Linked DNA regions of Tamandua tetradactyla. Each later gene encodes a partner of the first gene's protein in a complex. Links are inferred from orthologs where the notes say so. Each region holds a gene or a part of one and is shown on either strand. Other genes may lie near its edges. The genes, in order: USP39 and LSM6.

What was found.
Region 2: USP39 (region 1) and LSM6 share a complex: the UniProt entries of both Homo sapiens proteins name them as parts of the U4/U6-U5 tri-snRNP complex. The link is inferred for Tamandua tetradactyla from reciprocal best matches to the Homo sapiens genes USP39 and LSM6.

Annotation. Positions count from the first base shown.
Region 1 is NC_135343.1:59,907,591-59,923,759, reverse strand, and holds the start of USP39 (ubiquitin carboxyl-terminal hydrolase 39), read right to left. Parts: upstream 6,882-16,169; 5' UTR 6,834-6,881; coding exon 6,560-6,833; intron 4,517-6,559; coding exon 4,447-4,516; intron 3,142-4,446; coding exon 3,047-3,141; intron 2,087-3,046; coding exon 1,950-2,086; intron 576-1,949; coding exon 423-575; intron 1-422. Other genes in the region: C17H2orf68 (UPF0561 protein C2orf68 homolog), read left to right, coding at 9,824-9,930, 10,008-10,126, 10,995-11,146, 11,499-11,621.
Region 2 is NC_135348.1:21,881,227-21,897,337, forward strand, and holds the start of LSM6 (U6 snRNA-associated Sm-like protein LSm6), read right to left. Parts: upstream 7,716-16,111; 5' UTR 7,588-7,715; intron 7,554-7,587; exon of another isoform or gene 7,279-7,553; intron 7,067-7,278; exon of another isoform or gene 6,942-7,066; intron 6,078-6,941; exon of another isoform or gene 5,974-6,077; intron 795-5,973; exon of another isoform or gene 759-794; intron 1-758. UniProt on the Homo sapiens protein: Plays a role in pre-mRNA splicing as component of the U4/U6-U5 tri-snRNP complex that is involved in spliceosome assembly, and as component of the precatalytic spliceosome (spliceosome B complex).

The DNA.
Region 1 (16,169 bases):
AACAACAACAACAATAAAAACTTTGAAAACAGGACAGCTTTGGCTTTCTGCCCTTCTCATTCTGGGATATAAGCACAGGGCCAGGAATGAGACAACTGACAGCCAGCACAATAAATATCTGCACCATTAAAATATATATACATATCTAGCATATCAAGAGATTCGTTTTGGTACTGCCAGACAAGACCCAGGTTCTAGCCCTCTCTCCCCAGGAAGCTGCAGAGGCTGGAAGCCTGGAGAAAGGCCTCCTCAGCTGGCAGCAACCCCGTAAGCAGACCCAGGCATGCTCTGCTTGTTGCAAATACTCAAGGAGAGCCCTTAGCAGGCCGTGGTCTCTGGAGACCAAGTAGCTGTACCCAGAAGGCAGCAGTTCCTTAGCCACCCTGCACACTGTCCCCAGGTGACTCTCTTCCCAATCCTACCTGAAGGACAGCATTGGCATAGTCATTGGCCTTTATGTTATTCAGTCCCACGATGCCTGGCAGGTAAGTGGTACCATCATATGCCCGGGACAACTTGGCTTGCTTATCCAAATTTGCAATTTGCTGCTTGGTGAAAGTAGGCTTCAATACATACTACAAACAAAAGAAAATTCTGAATTGTTGGAGGGCTTTACATAAACTGAGTTCACAATGTATGACTAGAACAGCAACTTCTGACAAAAACAATCTGGTCATGAATGTCTGAGCACACACCCAATATAGGTCTAAAGACCAGGTAAGATGGGGTAAGTCCTCCCCACACAACTGGTCTAGAAGGGGAATCCGCATTTAATCCAAAATCACTAACTCACAGGTCTTTCCTCAGACCTCAAGCCTGACCGAGCCCGTGATAAATGCCTGCCTGAAAATGGAGGACACGCAAGTCCCTGAAGGCAGCAGGAGTCTAAGGCTCAGGTGTGGCCTCATGGAGCCAACAAATGTTCCAGGCTCAGGAAAAGGCGTGCCCCCTCACCTCTGAGCAGGACTGAGGAATTCCAGGACCCCCCACAACTGGAGGTGTGGGATCAGAATCTTGCCAGTCACAGAGCTACATGGACCATTCAAACAGATGATGGGCTGGACACAGATCATAACTAACTTGCTTTGAAACCTCAAATTTATTTCAGTTTCCCCCTCCATAAACACTGTCCCTAATTATGTTAATTTAACCTCAATTATTAAGAGGCCTGAACAACTTTTAAAAGTAGTACAAGTAGGGTGGGCCACAGTGGCTCAGCAGGCAGAGTTCTAGCCTGCCATGCCACAGACCCCTGGGTTCAATTCCCAGTGCCTGCCCATGCCCAAAAAATAAATACATAAAAATGCTATAAAAGTAGCATAAGTAAACAAAAATAAAGTAGCATTAGCAGTGCTTCCAAAACTCTGAACACACAGCTTTCTCTTAAAACAGAATATTCAGCACAATGAATATACAGCCATTTGCTGGGAAGGGAGATCATAAGTAACAACTCCATCATTAATTACCACCCAGGAGGACTTTACATGCATCCATGTAAGGACAGCAAGGGACTCTTGGCACAGGACCCAAACCAAAACCCACAGATTTAACATGTTGGCTGTTCTGGTCAAATCATAAGTCAAAAGTTGCCAGGAACTGGTACACAGCTCAGTGTACTCTCTCCTACACACGGTTCAATTCATATTTCTACTCCAAAGTGTAGACAGATAATTTATTACTTTGATTAGAAATTAGCCGTATCTTTTCATCCCCAGCCTTCAACTAATTATTAAAAAGCAGAAGTGATGGCTAGGTGGCAGACCATCAGCCAGACATAAGATTCCTGACTTCCTTACTCGGTTTCCCCTGTTCCTTCCAAAGTGAAAAAAGCCTCTCCAAACCCTAGGGGGCTGAAATTCTTCCCTGATCTCAGGGTGGGAAAGATCGCAGGGAGCCCCAGAATGGCTCCCAAGAGAAATGCCCTCAAACCAGCTCGCATAGACACAGACCGTGATATCCTCCAATGAGGAGTCAATGATCTCATAGTTGTCTGGAAGGCAGTAAAACTTGAGGGTGTGGAGGTTGAGAAAGACGTGGTGGCTGAACTGGACACTGTGAATATAGGCATGAGACTTCAAACCCCGGCCTGCAGGGAAGGATGAAAAGGCTGTTAAGTGCAAAGCAGAGACAACTTTCCTGTCATTGTTTTGTACTGGAACATGTTAGTATCAGCAAAACAAAATATTATGCCACCCCTGAAATGAATCTCCCACATGAACTTCTCTCATCACAAATTAAGCAAGAAAGAATATATAAGCTATCGTTTGGGGAAACTAACTTCATATACACAGTGTGAAATATTCACAAATTAGTTCCACATTTATTAATTAGAATTGGAAATACTCATGTACATACTATATATACATACTTAAATCTGCACATGTATGCATGCACACACAAACAGAGCCTGTGACAGTATGTCACCACTCAATCCTAAATTTCCAACTGCCCACATGAGGGCCAATCCTGCACCTATGGTACCTTTATTCACATTGCCACTGCTTTTTAGAAGCTCTCCCCTTTCATCCATTCAAACCCTACATATCGTGCCAGTTCAAGCCCCACCTTCTCCACGAACTCAACAGAAACACTCCAGCCAAAATTAACCTTTCCTTTTGTCAGCTCCTACTGCCCTTATTTATATTCACTAGCACACAGACTAGGAGCAATCTTTAAGGGCTGAGGGAGTTTGCTGATTGTTTTATGTGTTAACCTTCACCCCTTTTAAGAACAAAGAAAGTAGTTTATATTTCTTTTGAATCCTCCACTCTACTATGAACATTTGCTTGGTCTGAATAAGCTGGAATAATAAGTTCTCTGAAAATAAGATACCCTTTCAGATATATTCAGATTCTAAACCAATCAGAGAATCTCCTGTTGGTTTTCTAAAAGTATTCTGATTTTCTGGGGACAAATCATTAGATATGATTAGGGATTATTCGACATGACTCTTGATAGCAGCTTACTTTCTAAAAACTCTCCAAAGATCTGTGGCTAGTGCTGAAAACTCTACGTGTCTATCATATCACACGCAACATTTATTTACCCTGAAAGTACTTGCCGCACACCAGACAGGCATATGCATTGATATGCGAGAGGGAGATGGAGCACAGTTTTTCAAAGTCAAAATCGAGCACACTCCTAAAAGAAACAAAACAAAAGAAAAAACAATAGGGATGGATATCTAGGAGGCCACCCAACCGATGCAGTGCTTGCCAGTGTCAACTAGCACCCTGCAGAGAACGCTTCAACAACTGGCTATAAGCTGTAGGGAGCACTAACTATTGCCGCCTTGATGTTAAGTGGCACCTCCAGCCACAATGCCCCAAAGCGGACTCAGGTGTCTCAACCACACACAACCCCAAGGACCCCCTTGTTCACTAACTGATACGTATAACTGTTCAAGGATCTTCCACCTACTCACTTTCTCTGGAGGAAAAACTGTAAGAACTAGACTAAGTAGCAGGACCTCAACAGCATTCCGAATTAAAAGACCAAGGGTAGAAAGATATAAAAACTGTGAACAAATCCCTCTTATGAAAAAAAAATTATTACGGTCCATAAAAATAAACAGGGAGCCAAAAGATTTTTAGGGTAATACCAACAAACTGATCTATCCACATAAGTACAAAGTAATGATACATGAGGACTGAGCAGGGAAGGGACAAAAAACTTTATCTTCCCTGAAACCATGGTGGCAAAGGGATGTCTTCTGAAGTATCCCCCTCAATTAATTATAATAATTTTACAGAGCTGAGCTGTCTAATAAAGGCTTCACTAGCCACCTGTGGCTATTTATATTGAAATGTAAAAAAATGAAAATTGAATTAAATTTAAAATTCAGTTCCTTAGTTAAACAAGTCACCTTCCAAGAGTTCAATACCCACATGCGGCCTGTGCCTGCCACAGTTACAGAGCCCGGCCCTCAGAACAATCCCACGGGTGCACAAGGTCCTAATGCACAGCACTTCCCTCAAGAACTGGCCGAGCAGCATTCTCAGATGCCATCTGGGCTCAGAGGAAAGGATGCCATGACGAGATAAATACCTCTGCTTTAGGATAAACATTTTTTTCTGAGCTGAATCCCAGGCACCTAACCTAGTTCCTGGAACACAGTGAGCGCTCATAAATACTTCATTTTACCACTGTTGTTTGAAGGACACTGTTTCCCATTATTGCAACATGCAAATTCAAAATGAACTCAAGGTTCTTTATGCATGTGCCCACCCTCAAATAACGTTCCTGTCCTACAACATGCACCTAACCGTTCACAATGAAAGATAAAGGTTAATAATGGCAAGAAGCACAATTTTCTGGGCTTTAGAAAAATAAAGAAAACTTTAGAGGGGAACATTTATGAAATGGTGTGCGATATACAGCTCAAAGACCTTTCTGCAGAGATTGGGTGGATCTTTTTGCTACCTTCAGCATCCCTGTCCTACTGACCTGTTAATGGTGTCCAGGTAAGGGCAGTGGCGGCTCCTCCGATCCTCAGAATCCACACGGCCATTCTTTGCTAGAAAGGAAACAACCACAGGGCTTTGAAAATGGGAACCTGTACTGAGAGTTAACTACGAGTGGAAGCAAAGAAACAGAAATGGAGTAAGCTAATCAAGATGAGTTCCTAAACAGGCAGCCTCATGACACCCAGAAAAGCCCATTAATGGCACAAGCCACAAACTGGGAGAATGTGTTTAGAACCCATATAACCAACAAAGGATTAGCCTGCAAATTACATTAAAAAATCCACGAATCAATAGGAAAAAGACAAAAACCCAACGGAAAAGTGAGTCAAAGACATGAAAAGGTATTTCTTAAAAGAGGACTACAGGCCACAAACATGTGAAAAGATGTTCAACTTCGTCAATAATCAAAGATCTGTAAGTTTCCTTGCACAATGACGTCCCGGCCTGGGGAGGCAGAGATAGTATCTCCCTAAGAGGGAAAAGGGCAGGGACATTCACTGCCCATTATAAAATATACACGTTCTTTAAGTACAGGCTTCAATTCCGTAAAGCAACCCACTGTGCTTAAGGGTGCCACTCAGACCTCTTCATACTGCTCCATGGAAGCTGACACAAATGCTAACAGTCTGGCTACTGCTATTACTGTAACAAACTGTTCTTCATCTCCAACCATGAATCTCATGTCCTCCATTGGCATCCATGAAACAAATTAGCTCGCAGACAGGGAAAATCTTAGACCTTTCACAGTTCTTAACAAGTGAAAGATTTAAAGATGTACATTCATGTTGTTCTTTAAACCATACTTGTACATTATATTCAGTCTTAATTCCGGTGATATACCCCAAGATAAAAATAAAAGTTAAAGGGAGAAAAAAAGACAAGACAGTAACACTAACAGGGATCCTTAGCATGTCCCTGAGAAAACAATCTCACCACAACGAGGTGAAATAACTGAGAAACCATTTCCATTCCCAGGAAGAGAAAACCTGGGTCTGAGAGAGGATTTAATAAAGGAAATCAGACAGTACCCTAAAATTATGCATTAGATAATTCAAAGAATATTTACCAAGTACTTTCTATAAACAAGGTGCTATTCTGGACTTTGAACATAATACAAAAATACAACCGACACTAAGTTAAGGAACTTAAGAGCTAATGTTACAGTTTAATCATATGGATAGTCAGGACCACAGCAGAATTACAAAATCTTGGAGAAAAAGACTCCACCCTCAGCAACCCACCCCTAGCACGTTGCCTAGCCGTACATTCACCTGCTACTTCCTCAGGCTCCTACTAATTCAGCAGAATGTAAGTATATAGGAATATGTTGAAATCAGAGTACAAAGTCAGCGAAGGTAAGGATGATGAAGTTAGGGAGAGCAGGAAAAGCTTCAGAAGTGGTGAAAATCTACTTAATGATTGGCAGGAGTTCAACAAGCAGAAGAAAGCACTCAAGACAAATCCACACATCGCAGATGAGGTCTGCAGGAACTCATCCTTCTCAGAAGTGTAAGGGAAGGAGAAAGTGGCTCGCAATAGGAGGCAAAAGGGACACTCATGGATGGGAGTCACAGACTCATTAGACATTGTTAGAAGAGTCCTCAACGGTCACTGCTTCCAGGACTACTTCCACTAATTGACAGACCGATAGACACGTGAAACTCTTTTGTTCAAACCACAGCAACTCGGTTTTAGAGGCAGATCTAGAATTCAGCTCCCCTAGCAGCGACAACCCCGGAGAACGGGGCATGGCGGAGCAGGGCCCAGAGTACCGGCTTTCGACACTGATCGGATTCCAGAAATTACTGCAGGGTCCATACTTCGGGGTTGTTGTGAAAATCAGAGAAAAATAAGACCTACGAAGTAATTAACACAGCGCGTAGCCCACGATAAAGGGAAACTGCTGTCCATGTTAGTATGAGAAATATTATAACGACGGCTAGCCTTAAGGTTAGTGCTTTCGCACTAAAAGACAGTCGAGTTAGAGAGGCAACACCCAGGGAACCTGGGTTTTCTCCCCGGGAGGAGCACCGGGGAAAGGTGCAGAAAGCGAGGGCGGCGCGAGGGTAGGGCCCACACCCGGCCCCGCGCACCTCGCACCTCCCGCTCGGGTTCCGAGTCCTCGTCAGCCTCACGCTCCCGCTTCACCCGCACGACAGGGACTGCCGGAGTCGGGGCCTCCCGCGCGCTCGCCGGCTCGGCCTCCCGCTTCACGCGCACCGGACTGCCTCGGGAGCTCGCCACCTCAGGCTCCCGCTCCCGCTCCCGATCTCGCTCCCGCTTGACCCGCCCCGAGCTGCTCCGCGAATCGGACTCGCGCTTCCCGCGGGCGGAACCCCGAGACTCCCGCTTGGACCGGCCGGACATCGTTGCAACGGGCCTCACCGCCCCGCGCAGGCGCCAGGAGTACTGGCGCTTGCGGCACCCGGCCAATCAGGAGGGCAGCTGTGACCGAGTCCGAAGCCCTCTACGGGTGGGCGATGGGGCCAAACCGCGCTGCAGGAAACTCGTGAGAAGTGCTGAAATTTTCTGGCGGTGTAGGCGCTGCGCGCGCACCCAGGACGACATGCAGGCCCACTGCAACTCTGCCCTTAATTTCTGTCTTAAAAAGGCAGGACTGTTGTTGAAGAAGACCGTATATCTACATAGCTTTTACAATATGAGAAGACCGGATAGCTATATAGCTTTTACAATATGACTGTGTGAATGTGAAAACCCTGTGCAGGGTATAGACAGATGAGAAAAAAAGGAAAAAAAAAAGATTAAAAATAAATAAATAATAGGGGGAGATAAATGATAAAAATTAAATAGATTGAAATACTGTGTGTCTATGAGCTGAGACTTAGCATCAAGGGATTGAGAAAACCTTCTTGACCAAAAGGGGGAAGAGGGAAATGAGACAAAGTGTCAATGGCTGAGAGATTCCAAACAGAATCGAGAGGTTATCCTGGAGGTTATTCTTATGCATCAAGTAGATATCATCTTGTTTTTCAAGATGTAATAGAGAGGCTGGAGGGAACTGCCTGAAATTGTAGAGCTGTGTTCCAGTAGCCATGTTTCTTGAGGATGATTGAATAATGATACAGCTGTAACAATGTGACTGTGTGATTGTGAAAACCTTGTGTCTGATGCTCCTTTTATCTACCTTGTCAACAAAGGAGTAGAACAGATGGAATAAAAATAAATAATAGGGGGAATAAATGCTAAAATAAATTTAGTTTAAATGCTAGTGATGAATGAAAGCAAGGGGTAAGGGGTATGGTAGGTATAATCTTTTCTTTTCTTTCCTGTGTTCGTTTTATTTCTTTTTCTAATGTCTTTTTATTTCTTTTTCTGTATTAATGCAAATGTTCTAAGAAATGATGAATATGCAACTAAGTGATGATATTGTGAATTACTGATTATGTATGTTATTTTATTTTTTTAATTAATAAATAAATTTTAAAAAAAAAGAAATACTGTGGGTCTAAGTACATGGAATCTTGAATATGGCATGAGATCTTGTTGGTCTGCTGAGGCTAGTGTGGTGTCCAACATATCCCGGAGTAATGTGGGCAGAGAATAAAGAAATATTTGCAAGGTTGCCTTGGGGGACCAGGGAGAAGGGAGGAAATATTCAACTTCCCGTATTTGGAGAATTTCTAATATTCTCGCAAGCAGTGGGGACAACAAAATGAATACATTGAGCCCTTAATCTTGCGGTTCGCCCTTATGAAATTTATTCCTATAAAGGATAGGCTAAGCCTACTTAAAATTAAATCTAAGAATCATGGGCAGAGAACATATTTTGTTGCTCAGTTGTGGCCTCTCTCTCGAAGCCAACTTGGCAAATGAACTCACTGCCCTTCCCTCTATGTGGGGCATGACTCCCAGGGGTGTAAATCTACCTGGCAACATGGGATAGAAATCCCTGGATGATTCGGGACCCAGCATCAAGGGATTGAGAAAGCCTTCTTGATCAAAAGGGGGAAAGAGAAAAAAGGAGTCAAAATAAAGTTTCAATGGCTGAGAGATTTCAAACAGAGTTGAGAAGTTATCTTAGAGTATGCGTTTATATGGATATCCCTTTTTAGTTCATGGTGTATTGGAGTGGCTGGAGGGAAGTATCTGAAACTGTTGAGCTGTGTTCCAGTAGCCTTGATTCTCGAAGATGATTGTGTAACAATATAACTTTTACAATGTGACTGTGTGATTGTGAAAACCTTGTGTCTGTTGCTCCTTTTATCCAGGGTATGGACATATGAGTAAAAAAATATATGGAAATAAATAAATAAATAATGGTGGGACAAAGGGTAGAATAAATTGGGTGCATGAAAATGCTAGTGGTCAATGAAAGGGAGGGGCATGGCACTATGAATTTTGTCTTTAATTGTTTTTTTCTGGAATGATGCAAATGTTCTAAAAATGAATCATGGTTATTTGTAAAACTTTCGACTTGATATTTTGAGAACATTCACAATTTTAACAGCTGATCTAATAGTATCTAAGTTAGAATTTAAGAACTTTACTATCTGAAAAAAATGATCATGGTGATGAATACACAACTATGTGATGATATTGTGAGCCACTGATTGTGGAATGTATGTGTGTAAAGATTTATCAATAAAAACATTTTTTTCAATACACTTTACTCAGATAAGAGAAAGGAAGGAAGGAAGGAAGGCTGTGGGTCAATGAGAGGGAGGGGTAAAGGGTACGGGGATGTATGAGCTCTTTTTTTTTCTTTTTCTGAAGTGATGGAAATGTTCTAAAAATGATCATGGTGAAGAATACACAACTATGTGATGATATTGTGAGTCACTGATTGTATAATATGATTGGACTGTATATGTATGGATATTTCTCAATAAAAATATTTTTTAAGAAGGCAGGACAGAACTTCCTACCCACCAGGGAGTTTCCTTCCCTGACCACTGATCTGCTGCATAGCTTGTATTTCCTAGAGTTTTGCCTAAATGGAGTTATATACTATGTGCTCCTTTTTCACCTGTCATTCAGGTATGTTACTGGGTGCATCAAGAGACTTGGACTGTACCCCACTGACACCCTGGCTCCTCCCTCCACGCCGAGGCGTGCTGGGCGGGCTGCGGAAGGGGCTTCCCGGGCACTGGTCCTCACCCACCGCGGCCCCGCTTACAAACGAGAAAACAAGGCCAAGCAGCGCGGCCCTCACCGCGCGCCACCCCCACCCCCAAACTCCGCGCACGGCGACGTTCGGCCCCACGGGCCTCCCGCGACCGGAAGTCACGTCTCAGAGCCTGAAGGCAAGCGAGGGCCGCGGCGGGCCTCTCCCGGCGGAGGTGGGGGCGGCCGTTGGGGCTGTTGAGGAGACTGCGGATCGCCGCGCGGGGCTCCAGATGGATGCGGCGCCGGACCCCGGGCCGGGGCTCTGCTGCAAGCCTGGCGGGCGGCTGGACATGAGCCACGGCTTCGTACACCACATCCGACGGAACCAGCTCGCCCGGTACCGCCCCGCTCCGCACCGCTGTCCCCGGCCCTGGCCTGCTCGGCCGTCCCTGACTCTCGCTCGGCTCCCCGCAGGGACGACTACGACAAGAAGGTGAAGCAGGCGGCCAAGGAGAAGGTGAGGAGGCGGCACACGCCGGCGCCCACGCGGCCCCGCAAGCCCGACCTGCAGGTGTATCTGCCGCGACGCCGAGGTGAGGCCGCCTGCCCCGCCAGCTGGCTACTTTCAGCCGCGCGCGCCGCCGGGGACCTGCCGCCTGCGACGCACTCCCCTTCTCGGTGTGGAAAAAGCCAGTTCTCGACCCCCGAGGCTCAGTTCGCCTGGTCCCTTCCCGGAACGTCCGCCACAGTGCTCCCGCTCCGCTCAGTGACCCCCCTAGGGCAACAGGCGGGGCTCACGGCCCCCAGTTAAGAATCACTGTTACGGGCGATGTCTGGGAAACGATAGAAGCCGGCGAGAAGTTATCTGTCGGTTTGTCCGGCCTTATTGTGCCTTTTTATCCTCTATACCTGGTGGTGAGAAAGCCTGGCACAGATAGAAGCGCTCAGGGCCCAATTGTGGAATGTCGCCCAAATGCAGCAAATGGCTTTTCCCCCCTGCTTCTTTTCGATGCTTTCAGCTTGTATGTATGCCAACCCCTTTAGTCTTTAAAGGACTCCAGAATAGAAATTCTTATCCTTTCTGTTTCGCAGGAAACTGTGGCAGGGAAAGGTTAGGTAACTTGCCTTGAGATTTCAGAGATAGTAAATGGCAGAACCTGCATTTGAACCCAGGCAGAGTGGCTCCAGAGGCTTCTCTATCCTCTTCTCCTCCACTACCTTCCACCCCTATTCACCAGACATGTGTATTGTGCATCTGAAATATGTCGGGGTGCTAGCCTCCAAGGAGGTGGGAGGTATATTAATAACATCACTTCTGATTGGCAGCACACTACACATACACACTTTTGGGCACCTCAGAAGACTAGGTTTTTCTGTACAGTATGTTTTAATGCATGGTCTTTATGGGCAAGGGCTCTAGCAGCCCTCCCCCCTTCCTCTCACTCTGGTTCATCCCTCCAGATGGCTCTACCCGCCCAAGCAACCCAGATTATGAGGAGTCCAGTGAAAGCAGCAGTAGTGGTGGCTCTGAGATGGAGCCGTCTGGGCATCAGCTCTTCTGCTTAGAATATGAGGCGGACAGCGGAGAGGTCACATCAGTTATCGTGTATCAGGTATGCCTCATGTGGAAACAGCTGCAGCCTGAAGGTCCTGGGCCATAGTAGAAATCACTGCCAGACCCTGAGCCAGTGTTTTCCTCAGGGCCAGTGGGAAATGTCTGCTCCATGTGGGAGCATAGGACTGCCAGTGATGCTTTACTAGCACAGGTCACTCCCATCATAAGGTGATACTTGGTGGGGAACAGGGAGGGCTCACTACCACCCATTGAGAATTACTATTACAGGAAATACCTGGGAAATGACCAGAGCCAGCATGAAGCTGTTAGCCAGTATTGTCTAGGGTCAGGGCAGGTCGCCTTTGCAGAAGACGCCCAGCTCTGAGCTTCCTGACTCTTCCTCCATGTAGGATGATGATCCAGAAAGGGTGAGTGAGGAGGTGTCAACCCACACGCCTCTGGAGCCACCCATGCGAGAGGCCCTCAAGTTGCGTATCAAAGAGGAGATTGCAAAGCGCCAGAGCCGCCACTGACCAGGTTGAACACATTCTCTCCAAGCTGGATTCGCTACAGCATTCAAAATAATTCTGCCCAGGGAGCTCACCCCTAGTTTGGGTGTGCTAGAACCAGTCTTTGCTGACTTTGAAACCCACCACCCCATCCAACTTCACAGCTGCTCCATCCACAGAAGAAGGGTGCTGCAGGACTACACCTAGCCAACTTCCTTGCAGCCATTCTTTCCTGTGTGTTGGTCCATTTGACCAGCCTAATATTCTGGAATTTTTCAAGAACTGTTCACCTAGCTTGGTGTTTTAGAAGCAGAGACTCCAGGCAGAGCTGGGGTTTATGAAGCTTTCTCATTGAGGTCTTATGCTATGGGACACATGGCCACTGCTGCTCCCCCCCCAGCTCCATGAGCTATGTTATTTTATGGTTCCTTTTTTGTGCATGTTCCTGCTCACTTCCATCCAGTGTCATGTTTTCCTAGCTCTTTTTCTCAGCTCTATTTCTTTGTTCTTTCCTTCAACCCATCCATCTGCCTCAGGTAGACTCCATCAATTCTCCTTCCACCCCGCGACCCTCATATGAACGCCCGCCCTCATGTGACTGCCCTCAGGATATCAGTCATACAGGAACCTTATGAATGTTGTTGCACTTCCAGCCGCTCAGGGCTTTGCACATAGGGAGTTCTGAGAATCTACTTACTCATGAGCTCGCCAGGTAACGGCTGCCAATAAAGTGGGAGACCCTTCGTATTTGAGGCGTACTTGCAAGCTGTCTTCCTCCTTTTCCATGGCTTTGGCAAGTTTCTCACATGCCCCATGCCTTGTGCTGTCTAGATAGGAGACCTAGAAAGAAGATGCCAGAGCTGAATTGCAAGGATCTCTTGCAGGAAAACTGCCTTGGTTAGGGCTGCAGAATTCTAGCTTTTAACCTTATCCCTATCGGGGAATAGACTATCCTCTGCTCAGAGTAAAGGGGGATTATCTAAACAATTTTGAAACTGACTCTCCAAATGTGGTTTAGCAGTCTTAAACATACACAAAACAGAAAGGGAAACTTAACATAAGCAATAATTGCCTGTTGGGAGCTCTAATTGCAAAAAGTCCTGACCAGTGTCCCAAAGGAAGTGAAACAAGCCTCTGCCCTCTGCCCCATCTCCTGCTCCATGCTTTCTCAGTTCCTACCTCCTAAGTATATAAACTGAGATCCTTGGAATAAAGATTCCCAGGAATATAACTGCTTCCATCTCATGAACATTTTTCCTAATGCTGGGTTAGGTTAAGGTCTGAGAAGAACATAAGACATGCTGCGCACTGAGGTTTAGCGTTACTTCAGTTTTCCAGCAAGTTGGCCTAACCTCAGTGACTTGAAATGTGAGGTTTACATGAGCCCATGAGGCACTGAGACTTACAAAAATCAAAGCCCACTGCCCCAGGAGTTTTCCACATCAGAGGTTCAAGATCAATCTGGTCTTATCTCTCTCAGCAGCTTTTCCCCAAAGGACACCTGAGGGTAATGCTGGTTTGTGCACTATACCCACCAAAATGGGGTAAGGAACTACTTTAATTACACCATTTAAAATCACTAAGCCACAGCTTGCAGTGCCAGAAGGATGCTGGGAAGGTGAGTGAAGTGAATAAGAAGGGCCTAGTGGCAAAGTTGGCCAGGGACCAGAGTGCCTCTAACCCAGGAAGCTAGTCCAAGGCTAAATGCCTTAAATTTACCAGTCTTGGGCTCAGTTCTCCTTTCACAGGAAGGTCTTTGCCCTCTACTTATTCAGCTGGCCTGGAAGTGCCTTTTGACAACAGTATTAAGTATCCTTCAATGCCTCCTGAGTCAAGGAGGCCCTGCCAAACTCCACCCGTATTCTTCCTGCAAGTCGGAAGACCAGTAATTTTAGTCCTCCAGCTCTTAACTGATCTTATGACTTGGAACATAGGATTTCACTGGACCTCTTAGATAAGTTTCCTAATCTGGAAATGCTTTTTGGGTCTGTGTGCTCACATCTGGATCTCCTATTTCCTGGTTTTATTTTATTTAGAACTGACAAGCTCAGAAGAGGAGTTGGGGGGATGGCACCTGAAACCTTAGCTTCCTGTTTTATGAGAAAGGAAGAAGGCAGCGTTTAGTGTGAAACTTCTTTGTTCTTTTTTGTTTGTCCTGTGATCCTCACAAAGACCCTCTCAGTAGGAGACGGATGGGAACACCTTGCTTTTAAACTTTTTTCTTGGGCCATTTTGCTTATGGAGTATGTCACAAATATTTTCCATACAAGAAAACATTCTAATGTGTGACTAATTTATGCAGTGTTTACATACAACACTAAGGCTGGTACTAAAATGAGAGGTTGCTGGCCCACTGGAGATGTACACACACATTTGAATGATGCTGCTATTACTTCAGATGTGCCTGAAATGCCTGTCTGGACATGGTCCTTGGAGCCAGCTTATGGCCTTGTAGTTCAGCTTCATTGTTTATTGCCACCCGTCATCTGGAGTTCAAGATGGTACTTTTCAGTTTATTCACCAGACTTGTTTCCATTCATCATTCAGCAATTTGGAAAATTGGTGCTTTGCCATCCAGAGTGTGTTCCAAAATGTTTCCCACAGGCTCTAGAGGCGTCCCAAAGAGGACCAACCCTCTCTGTGGTGCAGTGGCAACAGTGTTGGACTGAGTGAACTTTCCAGTGGGCTGCTTCAGACTCAACATTCATTTGACTAGATTCATTCTTAGCTTTCAAAAAAAAGTCTGGTAGCCTGATAAACGTATCTCATGCCATCCAAAATGGAGTGCTCTTACTGAAGGTAACCCTCGAATTTTAAGGCTTTGTGTTTCCTGGGCCACAGTGGGTTATGTTTCAAATAGAAGGAAATGGGTGGGTTTTTTAGGGGCTTTGGTCTATGCAAGAATAAACACTAAAGCTTAAGTCCTAGCCAGTTGGCAAGCATGGGAATCTTTCAGGAACTTAATGCAAGAAAGGAAGAGAAGAATGTAAAGCTTTTTGTACTGAGTAGGAGCCTCTGGAGTGCATCCAGCCAGTAGAACCAACGTGGGCGATAACAAATGCTTTCCCAGTAAGAATTTCTAAGAAATTTCCATCTCCATGGTCCACTCTGAGGGGCACTGCTAACTGAGATTAGCCCATACTGGCCGGAAGAAACCCTTTGGGGTGGGGAGTATTCACCTTGCTGTGTACTGGGCAGGATCCATGGATGATGGGCAGTGAATCCCCAGCTGATTCACAAAATCTAAATGAGGCCTTTGCATGTAGAAAAAGGAATAAAAATGTTACTTTCCTACCTCTAAGCCTTCTCTTTGTAGAATCACCATGGAATGGTAACAATTATTTGAAACATTTTGAGTTCCCTTGTTGAGTTCTTGTCCCTAAACACCCAGAATCAGATGTGCAAGAAGCCATAAGCACCCACCCCAAATTTCCCCCGGAGTTGGAGTGATGCTAGAAGGGAAAGCCAAGTGAATGGCTCCTCTGCTTTCTTAGAACCAACATAATGGGAGACTGGTGGCACTGGTGATGTTGTGGTGTTAAATGTATAAAAAGCCATGCTTTCTTCTGGTTTTTCTCTTCCAGTGTTTCTGCTACTTGGATGAATAAAAATATGCAAATTATTTGAAGGAAGATACTTTTCAAATACAGTTTGTTTTTTAACTAATAAACTTACTATTTTTACAGCACTGTCTTTGCCAAGAGTTGTAAAATCACTTGTGTCCATAAGGGAAGATGTAAAATCACTTGCATCAGTAAGGGAAGTGATGTGTGCCCTAAAGTCATTCAGTACCACGGAATCAGGGCATGGAAATCTCATTTCATGCTTGGCCTGATTTTTTTTAACCCCTGTAGGAAGAATCATGTTATTTAGTGCTTAATTTTTTCCTCCAGTTTTTTTTTTTTTAAGTTTTATTCACACATGAATATTTTAAGAGCTGCCCTGGTTGGAGCATAACTAGACTCACATGACATTAGAGTTCAAAGGAACCTTTAAAGATACCTGGTCCCCCTTAACTCATATGGGTTTGCCCACTACTACCTACGTATTAAGAGCCCTTCTGTGCAAAGGAGCACTGTCTTGGGGTAATTCTATTTTAGGGACCACTTATATTGTCATGATAAGCCAAACTCTGCCTCCTTGTCACAGCCCTGGAGCCATGTCTTACCCACTGCCATGTCAGGACAGCCAGTTTAAAACCTTAGTAGTTCTCACAGACCTTGGCTGTGGTAATGGCTCAAGAGGAGATGGTCAGTAGGTGTTACGTAAATTATGAATCTCCTGATGAAGTAGGAAGTGCTGAGGGTGCACAGCCCTGTTAGACAGGTGAGAGAAAGGCCTGCGCCAATGAAACGCAGCTGGAGGGAAGGTGGTGCCTTGGTGTGAAGTGGAAAGAGGTATCCTCTAGTCTAGAGGCACAGATCAGGGTCGGCAAAAGGTATTCTGGATGTTCTCCCCCATTGGTCCATTCAGCCAGATTGGTGTTCTTATATAGTGAACACCCTGCACAGCCATACCTGTGGCCCTGCTTCAAATACTTATTCCATACAAGATGCAATTTGAAAGAGATCC
Region 2 (16,111 bases), on another chromosome or scaffold:
GCCCCAAAATGTGATGGAACCAACATTCAAGCTAAAATCAGCACTATTTCAAAGTCCATGCTATACAGGGCAGACTTTTTGACATTATGCTACGAACAACTGAGCCCTAAACAGTATCTCTGAAATAATAAAAATACTTGAGAGCCAACATTCAAGAGTTAACTACAATGGCAGCACTTTTCTAAGCACTTTACATGTTCTAAGCACATACATCTCCCTGACCTACAAGATAGGTACTGTTTCTATCCTGATTTCACAGATGAGGAAATAGACATAGAAAGGAAAACACCTTGTCCCAGGTCACACAGGCATTAAGTGGTTGGCCAGCCCATGCTCTCAACTACGTCCTTCTATAGCCTCCTGAAAATTATTATTAATGTAGCCAAAGATTTTGATTTATCCTATTATAACTATAGCAGATATATGTTCTACATAATAAAAGCAAAACCAGTCCTAAAATTAAAATATAATGGGTATCTGCAATAGAGAAATAGATAGTATTACACACCAAATTAATCACAACAGACATACAAAGTTGCCATGACTCTTTTCAAAAGTCATCTTGTTACAGAACAGCACCTCTTCAAAATATTTTGGTGAACAAATGCAACAAAACTGTAGTTAATTAAGCAAAAACTGAGAGTAAAAACACTCTGGAGGTTAATCTTTCTGTTTCAGCAAAATTCAGCATCACTATTATTTAGAAGCCACACAGCAAAGAGAATTAAAAACTAATATATCTGTGGCAGAATTCTCACCTGCCATGCCAGAGACCTGGGTTCAATTCCGGGAGCCTGCCCGTGCAAAACAACAACAAAAACTAATAAGGATACAATATTTTAAGGACTCTTCAAGAAATCAAGTTTTTTAAAATTTGCTTTCAAAGTTTTATTATACATTCTTCCATAAATAGATCTGCTATTTCACCCCAAGTCCATCCACTCAATGATCTGAATTTGGGTTTAGGGTTGTTGTTTAGAGATTTTCTCAAAGTAAATCAATGCAGGCTCAGCAGTTTGGGTAAACTAAAGTACTAGGTTTTTCATCAGTTCAACAAATATGTGTAAGACATGCTGTGCAAGAAAATTAAAAACTATGTTACCTAGAGTCTTCCTTAAAGAACTTAGAATCTATCAGAATTTAAACTCTTGCTAAATAGAAGGAAATACAAATTTAAAAATCTATTCTTGAATTTAAGCTATGTCACTTGGATATTTCCCTTCCAAGGCTTGAAAGATTATTTCAAAATGTGATCAACTGATTGTCTGCTCAGCAGTTTAACTTTTCCACTGAGTGGCTAGCTTATTTTTATACCTACACAGTCTCAAACAATACCTAAAAATTGCAACTTCTACTTCTTCAAGACTCACACCACACAACTATTTCATTCACCTGCAAAGAGAAAAATTACAAAGTAAATACTGTAACAGATTCAGTACTGTGCTGGTTTGAAACTTTTATGTACCCTAGAAAAGCTATGTTCTTTTAATCATGATCCAATATTGCAGGGTGTGGCCTTTTGATTAAATTGTTTACATGGAGATGTGACACACCCCGTTCTGGGAGTGACCTTTTGATTAGATGGAGATGTAACTCCACCATTCAAGATGGATCTTTAATTAGTTTACTGGAGTCCTTTAAAAGGGGAAATATTTTGGAGAAAGCAGATAAAGACACTGGGGATGCTGAGGAAAATGCCAGAAGGTCCCATAGGAGCTGCAAGAGTCGTGTGAAATCAGAAGCTGGGATAGGAGTCTAGCAGCACTGCCATGTGCCTTCCCCCGACATGCCAAGCGAGCCAGATGCCAAGCAAGCCAGAATCTGGAAAAAACCGAATCAGAGAAGCTAAGTGAGGGACCACAGATGATCGGAGACTAGAATCAGAAGCACAGAGAAACGAACTGGGAGCTAGGACCTCAGACGCCAGCCATGTGCCTTCCCAGCTGACAGAGAAATCCCAGATGCCATTTGGCCTTTCCTCAGAGTCAAGGTATCTTTATCTGGATGCCTTAGTTCAGTCATTTTTAAAGCCCTACAACCATAAACTTGTAACTCAATAAAGTCCCTTTATAAAAGCTATTCCATTTCTGGTATATTGCATTCTAGCAGCGTTAGCAAACTAAAACAACTACCTTTAATGACTGGCAAAAACAAACAAATCTTCCCAATCATCTACTAATTGTTTATTTATGTTTTGAACACATGCTGTTTTGTAGATGAACAGCTCTAGAGAGACTAGTAACTCTGCAGGTCTAATAAAGAAACTCAACTCTTGAGTATCAGGTTCATTTTCCCCACTAGGTCACACTTTCTTCATGTAAAAAGACTGAGGTAAAATAGCTGTTTATTTTGTGTTCCCTAAAAAAAAAAAACAACAATAAAATGCATTAAGATGTATCACCTAGTTAACAGGCATAATATTAAATACCATGTCCAAAGTAACAAGGGAATGACAGTCAATAAAGAAGACTACAAATCTTGACTATCAATTGATTAAGAGAAAGATATTATCTATATTATTTTCCACTACCTTTTTTAAAAGCACATATACTACCTGTTCTAAGCTCACCAATGATCACGTCTTTCACTAAATGTCCAGATTTACTCTAATTAACATCAATCTCTTCTAGAAGGTGCTCAATGCTTCAAATTTACATGGAGTACCTAACGTGCTGAGGAGATAACACAAAAAGCATATGGCTTTGGGCCCTCAGAGTCCCTCCAGAGAGGAGCCAAAAAAAACGTAAATGGAGAATTTTATAAAAGTGATATGTACCTGGACAGAATTATGTACACAGTGTTTTGAGAGCACAGGGAAGATTCACTTAGCCTAGTGCTGGCAGATCATGGAAAGATTCCTGAACTGAGTTTGAAAGACATGGAGGAGCCTACCAGCGGAATGCAGAGAAGTCTTAGCCAAGGCACTGGACAGTGCACTTGGATTTGAGGGTAAAATGCTACATAGGCAAGGAGGAGACTCAGCCACAGAGGGATCTGGGCCACACTGAAAGGGAACACCATAAGCCGGGCTAAAGAGCCTGGGCTTGAGCATCTAGGTCCCTTTCCCAAATTTGCAATCATTTGGGCACTTGAAGATTCTTATTCAGTAGTTCTGGGGCAGGACCCAGGAATCTGTTTGCACAAACCTATAAGGGTCTTGTGAACTGGCACATTTGGAAATACTGTTGTTAATGACAGGGAACATGAGAGGGTTTCAAACAGAAACTTGTTTGGGTTATTTTATGGATGAGATTGTAGAGTGGAGACAGGCCATCTCAGTTCTGGCACTGAAGAGCTTAGCATTTTTTTTGGTATTTGATATATATGTTATTACTCTCTCTCTTTTTTCTTTTTGTATGCTATATGGCGGGGTAACTTTCATTCTTTTTCCATGTGAGTATCTCATTATTGCAGCACCATTTGTTAAATTTTGTTTGTTTGTTTTTGTTGGCTTGTTTGTTTTGGGGAAGTGCATAGGTTGGGAATCAAACCTGGATCTCCCACATGGCAGGTGAGAATTCTACCACTGAACTACCCTCGTACCCCCTTTTCTTATATTCTCTTTTTGCATATGTCTTTTCTTGCTCAAAAGACTGTATGTCACCTGAGAGGGACCAATACCAATTTTCTCACATCTTCTCCAGAAACCTACATTCTGCTAAATCTCTTGAAAAAAATATTTTTAAAGTTATTTGGAAAGAATACGGTTGCCTCAAACACATTTTATCCCTCACTGGAGAGCCATATATTTTATATTACTCTTGATTAGGCTTCCTTGGTACTCCTTGTTACTTAATGACTTGCCCATAAATCCATTTTGTATGAGTAAACTGGTTCTGACACCACAATTTTTCCCACTACTTGGTTCAAGTAATTTTAAGTTTTCATCTTTTAAACTGAATAAGGGAGAAGGAACAGTTCTGACCATTTCTGAAACAAGAGATAATATTCTTTAACCATAAACACATAAAAGGAAAAACAGCCCCTTTCTCCAGGGTCACCTTGGTAAAACTCCCTTCAAAATTGAAGTTATAATCAATCTCTATGCTTCCTCTCCTTCCCGACTCCTACTCAGGTTTGTTTTAAACTACCTATTTTTATAAATACTTATTAAGTCAAAGACAGTATACTTTCTGTCAGAAGCTACTGACAGGTCTAGTACTAGACAATCTGCAAACTGCTCTACAGAGACTTTTTAAGTAAAAGAATGGGGGAGGAAGGCAAATTTTATTCATCCAACTGTGCCAGGCAATGTTAGATGCATGAGCAATTCACATAGTAACACTATGAGGTGGTAAGCAGAACTAAGGCTGGACGCCCTCCCACCATAGCCTATGCCCCTTCAAAGGTACAACTGCTGTTTTAAGTATGTCAAGACTCCACTGACCAGGGATGGCCACTGAGACAGAGATAAAACTAGGTAGAGTATAGAAGCAATGGGGGCCGGGAAGGTAGATGCCAAAAGTGACAAAGTACTGTAAATAAGCCTGTGAAGAAATATAATAGTCAAACAGAAAGAAATATAACTAATGTGGTTTTGAGCTATGACACTGAGCAAAAGACATGAAAACCCTTGCTTCCTGGCAATGTCTCCTTATAAACTTTAACCTAATTCTATAACATTTACAGCTTAGAGTAAAAAAAAAAAAATTGGAAGGAAAAATGATATTGCAATGCAAATAAATGTGATGTTGGACTAATCTTTCAGCATCTGAGAAGACCATCAGACAATGAGAAAAAGAGTTCTCTAAATAACTTCTGAAACAGCGGAGGACCTAAGCTTATAGGAAGGCTCAACACTAATTCACTCCTCTGTCCAAGGTAACCAGCAACTTCCTTTCCTTCTCTCCAAAAACACAAGTGAGTCAGTGCACTTCTTTCTTACCTGTGATCACACCAGCAGATTTTGTAATTGTTTTCATTGCTGACCAGCAGGTTCTAAGCTTCTTGGGGGCCAGGAAAATACCTTACCCATTCTATATCCTTGGGACACTTCCCAAATTTGTGGAAAAGACACTCAAGGCCAATGCCAGGCAAAACCCCTGTCTCTTCTTCCCTCACACTTTGGGCAAAGTGGGTAGTACAGTATCATCTACACATTTCAAAAGCTATTAACGTGGTAATATCTCTACTACTGACCACCAAATAAGAGAAAAGATAGTGGAGAGAAAATAGAAATGTTTCTGTGTTGGTCAAAAACTAGCTGCATCAGAATCAACAGAAATGCTTGTTAAAATGCAGAGTCCTGGGGCCTACTCCTATCCAGGTGCTTTAGGCAAGGGGTACTGTAATTTTCATTTCCTAAATCTCCCCGAAATAATTCCTATACACAAGCAGCTCTCAATGAGAAGGCAATTCTGCACCTCCCACTCTCACCCAGGGAAATCTGGAAAAGTCTAGAGGCATTTTTTATTGTAATGACTAGGGAGGGTGGTCCTACTGGTTTCGAGTGGCTGAGTGGGTAGGGGCCAGGGATGTTGCTACACATTCTACAATATACATGACAGCCTCCACAACAAAGAATTAAACAGCCCAAAATGTCAACTGAGGTTGAGAAACCCTGCTATAAGCCTAAAAATGATAATAATCATGATGCCAACACTGTTCCTGGTCTTAAAGCAACAAGGAGTTCTTTTTAATTCTTCAGGTTATAACTAATAAAAACCAATAAGTTCTAACCAAATGATGGGGTATAAATTATAACTTATTAGGGACATTTTATTCCAAAACACAGAGAATTTGAAAACAATTGTCAAAATCTTCAAGGGGTTGCCATTTGTTATCATGGATTTTAGTCCCGGCCATGAAAAAGGTCACTTCCCAATTTTTCAGTGTTACAGGTCCCTCTGATGGTTATCTTTGTTGTACAATTCTAAACTGATAAAATAACCCAGGTGACATAATGTCTTTTTAAATTCTAATACCTATTATGCCACAGTGAGAGAAGCCTGATGCAGCAAAAAGAGTACTCACTTGGGAGGCAGGAAACCTGAGTTCTAATTCCATCTCTGCTACTTAATTAGCTGTGTGAATTGGATAACTCATCCTTTCACCTCTCATGGCCCCAGGTTCCTCACCTGGAAAATAAGGGAGTTATGCTAGATGGTCACTTAAGTCTCTTCCTGCTCTAACATTTGGTTAGCTTATGCCATAACGCCAATAGTACACACACACATATGCAAGCTTCTGTATGATTCTTGCACAAAATTCAAATAAGCAGAATTACCAGACACCACCATGAAAAAAATCATTCAAAAGAGAGGCTCAACTTTCCTGGTTGATGTGTTAGAAATGTTTCAAGCGACCATACTTTTGGTGAAGCGGGAACATTCACGCATGGATGATGTAAACTACTCAAACTTTTTTTGAAAACAATTTGGCAATCTATATGAAGACTCTTTAAAATGTCCACATCATCTGATCTAGTAACTCTACTCCTGAGAATCTAGTCCGAGGGAATAATCAGATACACAGTTAAAAAGAGAGGCTCACCAAAGTATAATCTGGGACGTTAAAATAAGGCAAAAACTCAGAAACGACCTAAATGCCCCACAGTAAGAAAATGGATGAATAATTTATGAGACCTACACAATGATGGAATAAGCAATCAGAAGAAAATACAGAATTAAGACAATTATTTAGTAAGAATTTACAAATATAAATAGAAAACTGTATATACTGTTAAGTACGGAAAAAATAGGTATAGTCTTAACTCAAGTAGAAACAAATCCATAAATAAAATACATACATGGACTGTGGGTGGAAGAACTCAGTGAATATTATTTTCTTCACTGAAGTCCTCTGCATTTTCCGTTTTTCTACAATAGTCATGTATTATTATGGGGAGGAGGAGGCACACTAAATCACTATCAACATTATCTGCATCACTCTAATCCTGGATACCCCGAAGTAAAACACTTGCTATGCACGCGTGCACGCACCCGTACACACAGAAAGTCTCCGGTAATAGAACTCGACTCCATACGATTAGGGATATCCCCCATCCGACAACTCGGGAAGGTGGGCTGGAGCGGGGAGGTCCACTCCTTAATTCCTGGGAGTCAGGAGCAGCTAGTCCGATTTGAGCAGCTAGTCCGATTTCAGTGGAGTACCCGTGATTCCCTGCTGCCCTGGGAACCAGGCAAAGCCTGGGCCTGTGTTCAGGATCCGTTTTCCCGCCGAATCCCCGGGGAGCGTCCCGGGATCCGGTGAGACTTCGACAACCGGGAGAGGTCTCACAAGCAAAGTCAAGGCAGCCAGGAAAGTGCCCTTCCTCACCACGCCTCCCGGTTCCAGGCAGCTCTGGGGAAAGGGTTCCAGGGAGCTCAGGAACCTCAACGCCGACAACCAGACATCTCCCGGCCATTCCAGGCGCCGAAGAGAGCCAAGGGGCGCGGCGTCCCGCAGGGACCGACCCCCCGGCAGTGTCCGGGGCCCGCTGTCCCTCTCCGGGTCCCTAATCCCGCTACCGCCAGGCCCTTCCCGGGCCTAGCTGGGGAGAGAGAACCCTGGCCCTCGAACCCGGGACTACGCGCGGCCTCGCCTTCAGACCGCGCGACCGCACACCCGCGCGGCCACCCCGCTCACCTCGCGGCCGGGATCTAGCACCTTACTCCTGGCGGCGCGCACGCCCGGCCTCCGCCGACAACCGCCGCGAAAGCTGAAACCGCCGAAGCAGCGGCACTTTCCGCCCCAGCCAATCAGTGCTTCCTCCAGCTACGGCAGCCCGTGAGGACCGAAAAGGCCGGTCCTGGCCCGCGCGCGCAAATTATAGAACCTCGGTTTGCCGAGATCTTGCCGCCGGGTTCAAGTCGGAGGCGGTGGTGATCTTTCTTTTAACGGAAAGCCTAAAACAGTATTAACAACCAAACTAAAAAACCCAAGCAAATAAAGAACTGGAAGTGACAGGATTTCTTTGCAGAAATATAAGAAATAGCGTGAAGTCAGGAAACTGGAATTTACTGCTAAGGTATGTCGGGGCATACCCAGAAATGTCGCTGAATAATCTCATGAAAATAAACAAATGAAAAGGAGCCTCAAATCTTTAAATCCATCTTTGGATTTTGATTTAAATGTGTGAAAACAAACTCATTATTAGCAATTCCATAGCAATGTTAATTGAAACTAAAATAATTCGTTAGTAAGTAACTATATTGTAATGGCATAAATTGTGTTACATTACAAACAGTAATTCTAATTGGAAATGCTGTGCGGACATTATTTAAGTGCTGCTATGGGAACCTGGTTTGGAATTTTGCATGAATTCTCGGTATTCTTGCTATTAGTGAAACAGCAGAGGAAAAGGGAGACAGCTGTTACACCAACATTGAATTCCTTTTTTCCTTACACACATACCCTCATCAAGATAGACTTTAATCTTCCTTATGAGTTGTAACACTATAAACAAAGTGCTACCTTTAAACAACAGATCTTAAATCTGTTAAATGTTATAGGATATAATATGCAGATTTTTTTAAAGACAAAAGTGAGTATCCCCCCTTACACACACATACACTCCTTGTAAGCCTCTCTTAGCTGAAAGGTGAAGAAGTGAGCAGTTGACTGATCTTGTGAACAGAGAACAACTGGGGGTGATTTAGCAAAGAGCAGACTTCCTTAAACCCTTCTCTAAAAGAGTGGTTTGGGTCAAGACCAAGCAATTACAGATTAATTGAGAGAGCTCTATTTGAAGTTCTTGCAATATAAAATATAATGTAAATTTAAATTTTTTTTAAAGAAAAGTACTATTAAAATCAAGTAATTAGCTGCAAAGAACAAACATAATAGAATATAAAGCTCTGTCCCTAAAATCCTTCTTTGCAAAAGACATCAGATTGTCCCACATTCCTCACTGATTGTTTTCTTAAATTTTGATTCATAGATTTTTCCCTCGGTTTCCACAGAGCCCTGGTGGAAGCAGTAGATTGATGTGGAGGACTGGGGGTGGTGAGGAATTTTTAGAGCATAGTTCATCTACAGGGCAGCGGCAACCTTTTTCAAGGGGCACTAACATGAATTACTTCATGTACCACCAAAGCTTATCAAAAATATGATTGTCCTCAGAATCCCCTCACCAGCTTAAAATTGGTTTTTACTAACTCACGAGGCAACTTTCAGTATTTCACTATTTTTTCCTTCAACATCATATATTTTACAAAGAGAATATATGTGGGATTTTTCTGGTTTACTACCAAGAACTGGTCTTTGAAACCTGAACATAAATACTAACTTATTAAGAAGCCCTAAAGTCATAAAAACAGTGTGGCACAGCTTAGTTTGGCTAAGTTTATCATTGCCTCTATATAAGTTTCTATCCAATGAACTAAAAATCGTTAAGATCATGACATCAGAAATCGTAATATATGAATTCTGCCTCCTCCACTTCTAATTGTAAAAATCTTTCTTGGTCCAGTAATTAAACTTATCTAAGGCTTTTTTTAAAATCTTAAAACGGAGGAAATAAAAGTTAATTTTTTTACCCTAGAATAATGAAATGATTGAATGAGAAAGAAAACATATACAAAAATGCTTTGTAACGAGAACAGCATTTCAAACATAATCTGTTATTCTTAAAACAGGCAAATACTAGTATAAAAATACTAAAATGAACTCAGCCATTTCATTATTTATTGCACATTTCTACAAGTTTTCATACCTTTGCCTTCAAGTAACTATCTCCATTTATGTTTCAGATTCAGAAACAGAAACAGAAAGTATCATTTTTAGCTTGTCTTATAAAACACCCAACAGCCCGGAGAACGTGTGGGTGATTGTACTATGATGCTGATGTGGGTAAAGATAATAAACACAAACATGGAATTGGATTGGTCACATTCCCAAAGCAGGTTTTAAAATGTTGCATCAGTGTTAGGCATTCGATGAACACTAGTTGCTCTTGCCTGAGCAGTGCATTAACTGTTCTGAAGAGCTGACAGGGGTAGAGCCTCCCTTCCTTGACCTTTCAACACTGGACATAAAAACATGAAAGCTATGACATCCTGGTTTTGGGTATTTTAGGCCACTCTTACCTACCTTTCATCATGGGATGTGAAAATAATTTGTTAAAGGAAATGAGAAGAAAGACATTCTATAACTGCAGAATATCTTCTGAGAAGTGATCTAAACTTGTTGACTGGTGGACAAATTTCTCAGAAAAAGCAATAAGCCTTTTATTTTTACCAAAAGAAGGAATATGTCATAGTTTGCCAAACTGCTGTGACAAATACCACACAAAAGTTTGGCTTAAATGAACAGAATTTATTGTCTTGCAGTTTTGGAGGCTAGAAGACTTGCTTCCTCCCACTTTGGTACGATTTTTATGCTGGCTTGCCTGCACCTGGGGGTTCCTTGGTTTACATCTCTGCCTCCTGTCACATGGCAATGTCCTTCTTTATCTTCTGGGTTCCTGCAAATTTCCTGCTTTGGGCTCCTTACTGTGGTTCTCTCTTTATAAAGCCTCCATGAATCCAGATTTAAGACCCACCCTCATTCGACTGGGCTACACCTTAACTAAAAATAGTATCTTCAAGGGGTCCTGCTTACATGCGTTCACACTCACATGCATGCAGATTAAGATTAAGAACATATGTTCGTTGGGGAACATAATTCAGTCTACCACAGATTTATTCGATAGCATAGGCAATTATTTTAAGCTAGAACATTTGAGATGTGTAAACACATGTTCGAATTTCATCAATCCATCCTTTTGGTCTGAGTTTAACTTCGAAGGCGATGGACTCTGGGTCTGAGCTCCTGGAAGGAAAGTCTGCCAAACGCTGAAATGCTTTACATTCTACTGTGAACTCTAGAAAACCTCTCTCAGCTGTATAATTTAACGAAATCTGTGTGAAGCTGCCCTTGTGTTTTCAACAAGATGAACTTGAAAGGTGAACATTATAAGTGGGAGAAATTATTTATAATTTGGTAATAAAAGTTTATATCTAACACTCCAAATTTCATACATCTGCCGTGTGCCGGCACTGAGATATAAAACAATTGAAGTTGCCTTTACATTTGCCCTATATGAAAGGTCATAAATTAGAATGATAGCGTTCATCTTCTTTCCTAGCTCACAAAATTTCCATATTAACATCTTCACCTCAAACATAAATGGTTACCCGCTACAAAGAAAAGACTTGGATTGGCCTTTATGAATTATAGTTTATGTGGAAATCTGTAGTATGTAAGCTTGCTGTTCAGCTCTCAGTGAAGTGCATTTATTTCAGTAATGCTAATTCTACCACAGTGAAACTCATTGGAACTGTGTGGCCAATGTATATAAAGCACAGTATGTAAAAATTTAGGAATATTTCAGATGTCAGCAACTTATTTCCAAGGTATGGGAGTCTTTAACTTTTAAAAATGCATTTCTATGTCTTTAAGAGATTTCTGTGGCTAACATACCTGCTACCAAGTTTATTTAAAATACGGCTTTCAATTTTCAAAATATTTTAATGTTTCTTCCAATGAAATAAGATAATATATAGCTTTTAATTTTTTTCAACTACACAAAGGCTGGTAACCACAACTAATTTAATCAGAGCATATTATAACTAAATTCGTTGTGGAATATTAATGAATTGGACCAGTGCTTTATGTTTAGGCATTCAAAAAAATGTTTATAGCAAAAAACAAAAAACAACCAAACAGATGTCCTTGATTTTCCAGGGTGATATCAAATCCATATGCTTTTTTGGTCTAAAGATTTCTTTTACCAGCCCAGTGGTGTAGTTAAAATGCAGCGTATTATAAACCGGCAGGCTCAAGCTCAAGAACAGTTTTAGAGATTCATCCAGGCAGAATGCAAAATTTCCAGACCACATGCTAGTTCTTAGTAACTTTCAGCATTGGAAATCAGTTTTCGTAATTCTGGATTAGTGAACATCACGTAGCTGAAAATTACCAATATGTTAGCACATGCTCTTTCATCTCAATTATTTTCTTAAGTAATTGGCTTTTCTCTCTAATGTCAGAATAAATGGATGTTTCTTCAGTCACTGAAGCTCCTGCACTAAGAAGCACATCTGTTGTCTCCAAAAACTCTCAGGAGCAAAGAATATAGCTGGTTCTGTTGTGCCAAAACCTGCAGCAATATCTGGACACGTTTCTAGACGGTCACGCACACCCAAAAATACAACACTGTTCTCATTTCACACGTCTCCCCAAAAGAATTTGGGGAACTGACAGATCACTTTATAAGTTGCAACAAGAGAAAAGAATAATACTCTCTTCTCTTGAAGGTCTTCCTATACAAATACAATCAAGATGAATCCTGACTGCCTTTTATGAGAAGGAGAAACAAAGACTTCTAAATGATTTATGCTGAAGAATTGAAACAAACAGATTGCAGAGTACACAGAACATGGGGAGGACAAACATTATTTCCAATTTCACCAGGGGCCGGGAAAGGATACTGGTATTGTTAGTATTCCTTTATTCATACTGAGTGGGTGAGATCATGAATAATCTGTGTAGACATTTGCTAGATTAGTATCTATCCTAACATTCTGTCCAAATAGCAACTTGCTCCGTTTTTAAGTGTTGTAAATTTGCTTAGTGCTTGGCAAAAAGGTGCTCCTAACTATAAATGGATAAATAAATGACTAAATGAATGAATAAATGACTCCACAGGTGGTCCCAGAATAAGACCCTCTGAGTGCCACAGAATGAACATATATTAACTAAAATAAGAGAAAATGAAGTCCTTGATGTGGACTTTAGAGAATTCAGAATCTCAACAGTTCTTGAACCTTATCCCCACCAATCTCAATCACAGAATTAATTAATAAACATTTATCACTAATCAGGTGTCCCAAACTGATTTAGAGCCCAAATTTTACTTTTTGAATCCATTCCTATTCGGGAACAGCAAAGATCTCAGAACCCTCACTGAAATTTAACTTTCCATTTCTTAACTAGACAAAAGACTTCTTGGTTCCACCTGCAGCATATAAATTACTCCCTAATTACATATTAGGGAATATTAGAGTCTTATGGATTCTACCACTCACTCCGTCCCCCTTCCCCTACCCTGTGCTGGTTTGAAAGTATTATGTACCCCAGAAAATCCATATTTCAATCCTAATCCAATGTTATGGAAGCAACTGTTTCTTTGGATCCTCATTCAACACTGTAGGTTGGAAACTTTCTATTAGATTATCTCCATGGAGATGTGGCACACGCAATTGTGGGTGTGATCTTTTCATTAGATGGAGAGGTGACTACACCCACTCCAGGTGGGTCTTGATTAGTTTACTGGAATCCTTTAAAAGAGGAAAAACATTTTGGAGAGAATCAGAAATGACAGAGCCAACAGAAACTTTGGAGCAGAGCTGGCACAGATGCTAACACTTGGAGAACAGAGACAGGGATGTTTGGAGCACAGCAGATGTTGCCATGAGATGTTAAGCAAGCCAGAACCTGGGGAGATCCAAGGGAAGCCAAGAGATGAAAGCCAGCCCTGGAAAAGCAAATTTTGGAACCCCCACAGGAACAGAGGCTGAAAGCAACAGAGCCTAGGAGCAAGGGACCAGTGTGACTTCCCAGCTGAGAGAGAAAGCCCAAACATCATTGGCCCTTTCTTTGGCGTTAATGTAGCCTCTTATTGGTGCCTTAATTTGGACATTTCTATGGCCTTAGAACTATAAACTTGTAACTTATTAAATTGCCTTTAGAAAAAGCCATTCCTTTTCTGCTATATCACATTCCCTCAGCTTGCCAACTGAAACAGATTTTGGTACTGGAGAAGTGGGGTGCTGCTTCCATTTGCAAATACCAACCATGTTGGGATAGTTTTTTAAATGGATAAGGAGAAGATTTTGGAAGAACAGTGAGGAGCTTAATAAAGAAGTGCTTTAAAGATACTGCTAGAAATGTGGGCTCTAAAGATACCTCTGATGATGCTTTAGACAGAATTAAGGAATGTGCAATTGCAAACTGGAAAAAAGGTGGCCCTTATTTTAAAGTGGCACAGAATCTTGCAGAATTGTGTACTGCTGTTGGATGGAAGTTAGAATTAAAAGGTGACAACCTAGGATACTTAGCTGAGGAGATTTCCAAATTAAATGTGGAAAGTACGGCCTGGTTTCTCTTTGCAGCTTGTAGTGAAATGCGACAGGAAAGAGATAAGCTGAGAACTGAGCTCTTGGGTATAAAGAAACTAGAAATTGATCGTTTGGAAAATTCTGGGCTTCCAGAAAGGGAGACCCCAGAGAATGGTAGCCCATGACAGGATCTAACCAAATATGGAACCAGTCAGCCATTTCTGGGAAAGCCAGGACTGGAGATAGAGTTATCCAGGAAGGATTTGTGGGAAGTCCTTTTGCTTGATGGGCATGATCCCCAGCATACTGCATAAAAAACTAGTAAGAGTGTTGTGGGATCTGTATAGACAGAGCCACTGTCAGTCTGAACTGAAAGGGACAGAAAAGGGACAAACTGGAGGAAAAATAACTTCAGAGGCAGAACTATGGAAGCTAAGGTCTGAAGCAAGAAATCTTGGGCCAGGAGCGCAGACCTAGCCATATATGTAGAGAGGGTGAGTTTGCCCCAGGAGCAGAGGGTGGGCCTTCAACTTCATTGCTCAGGAAGAGTTGTGCAACCCCACACCTTGGAGAGGTTGCAGCACATAAACCAGGGAGGGGGGAGGGCCTGGCTGCCATCCCATTGTTCTGGGAGAGGGGTAAAGCATGTGCTCCAGAGATGGCTGAGATCCTGGGTGCTAACCTGAAGCTTGGAGAGGGTGGAGCTGAGAATAGGTGATCTCCCCATTGTCCCCCAAGATTGCAACCACTCCAGTGTCTGGAGAGAGCAAAGCCAATGATTAGGCCCTTGGAAAAGATGGGACTGCCACTTTCTAAAGGCCCAAGGATAAATGACTCTCAGACTTTGAAATCTAATGAAATCCAATCCAATGGAGTTTGCCCTGCAGGTTTTAGGAACTGTATGGGTCCAGTGACTCCTGTGTTCTTTCCGGTTTCTCCCTATGGAAATGGAAACATGTATCCTTTGACTCTTCCTTCTTTGTATATTGGCAGAAGATAACTTGTCCTGAGTTTTATAGAGAATTTTTGCCTTAGAACAGACCATGCCTGTAATAGGCTGATGAAATTTTGTAGTTGTTTTAACTTTATAGTGTATTTGTACTGTTGCTGAAATAGTTTAAGGGTTTCCTGATATAGTGAATATATTTTGTATATTGATAAAACATGCCTTTTTGGGAATCCAGAGGGTGGAATGTGCCAGTTTGAAAGTATTATGTACCCCAGAAAATCCACGTTTTAATCCTCTTGTGGGAGCAGCAATTTCTTTTAATTATGATCCAATACTGTAGTGTGGAAACTTTTGATTAGATTACCTAATCTAAAATGTGGCCCACTCCCTACCTTTTGATTAGGTGGAGGTATGACTCTACCCATTCCAGGTGGGTCTTGATTAGTTTACTGAAATCCTTTAAAAGAGGAAAGATTTTGGAGAGAGTCAGAAACAACAGAGTTGATGAAACTTCAAAGCAGAGCTGACACAGATGCCGACATTGGAGAACAGAGACAGGGATCTCTGGAGATGCTTGGAGCCCAGCAGACATTGACATGACATGTTAAGCAAAACAGAGCCTGGAGAGAGCCAAGGGAAGCCAAGAGATGAAGTTAGGCACCAGAGAAGCAAAGTGAGGAACCCCCATAGGAAGAGAGGCTGAAAGCCATGGAGTTCAGTAGCAAGGGACCAGCAGATGCCAGTCACATAACTACCAAGCTGACAGAGCTGTTCCAGACCCATTGGCCTTCCTTGAATTAAGTTATCTTTCCCTGGATGCCTTAGTTTGGATATTTTTATAGGTTTAGAACTATAAACTTGTAATATATTACAAGTAAACTGCATTCTGGGCAGTTTACAAAGTAACAGACTTCCTCTCACCCCCCCCCCAAAAAAATAAAAGAGGTTTTCCCAGTATAATTTGTTGTAAGAAAAATGCACTAGTCCAAATATTTAAAAAAATTCAAAAATCAAGAGGAAAAGGGATTCTGAAGGAATCTATTTTAGAGAAAAAGATTTGCTCTTTCAAAATAGAAAGGAAAATAATTTTTCTTTTCTTGGGTTAATGTGAAGGTACTTT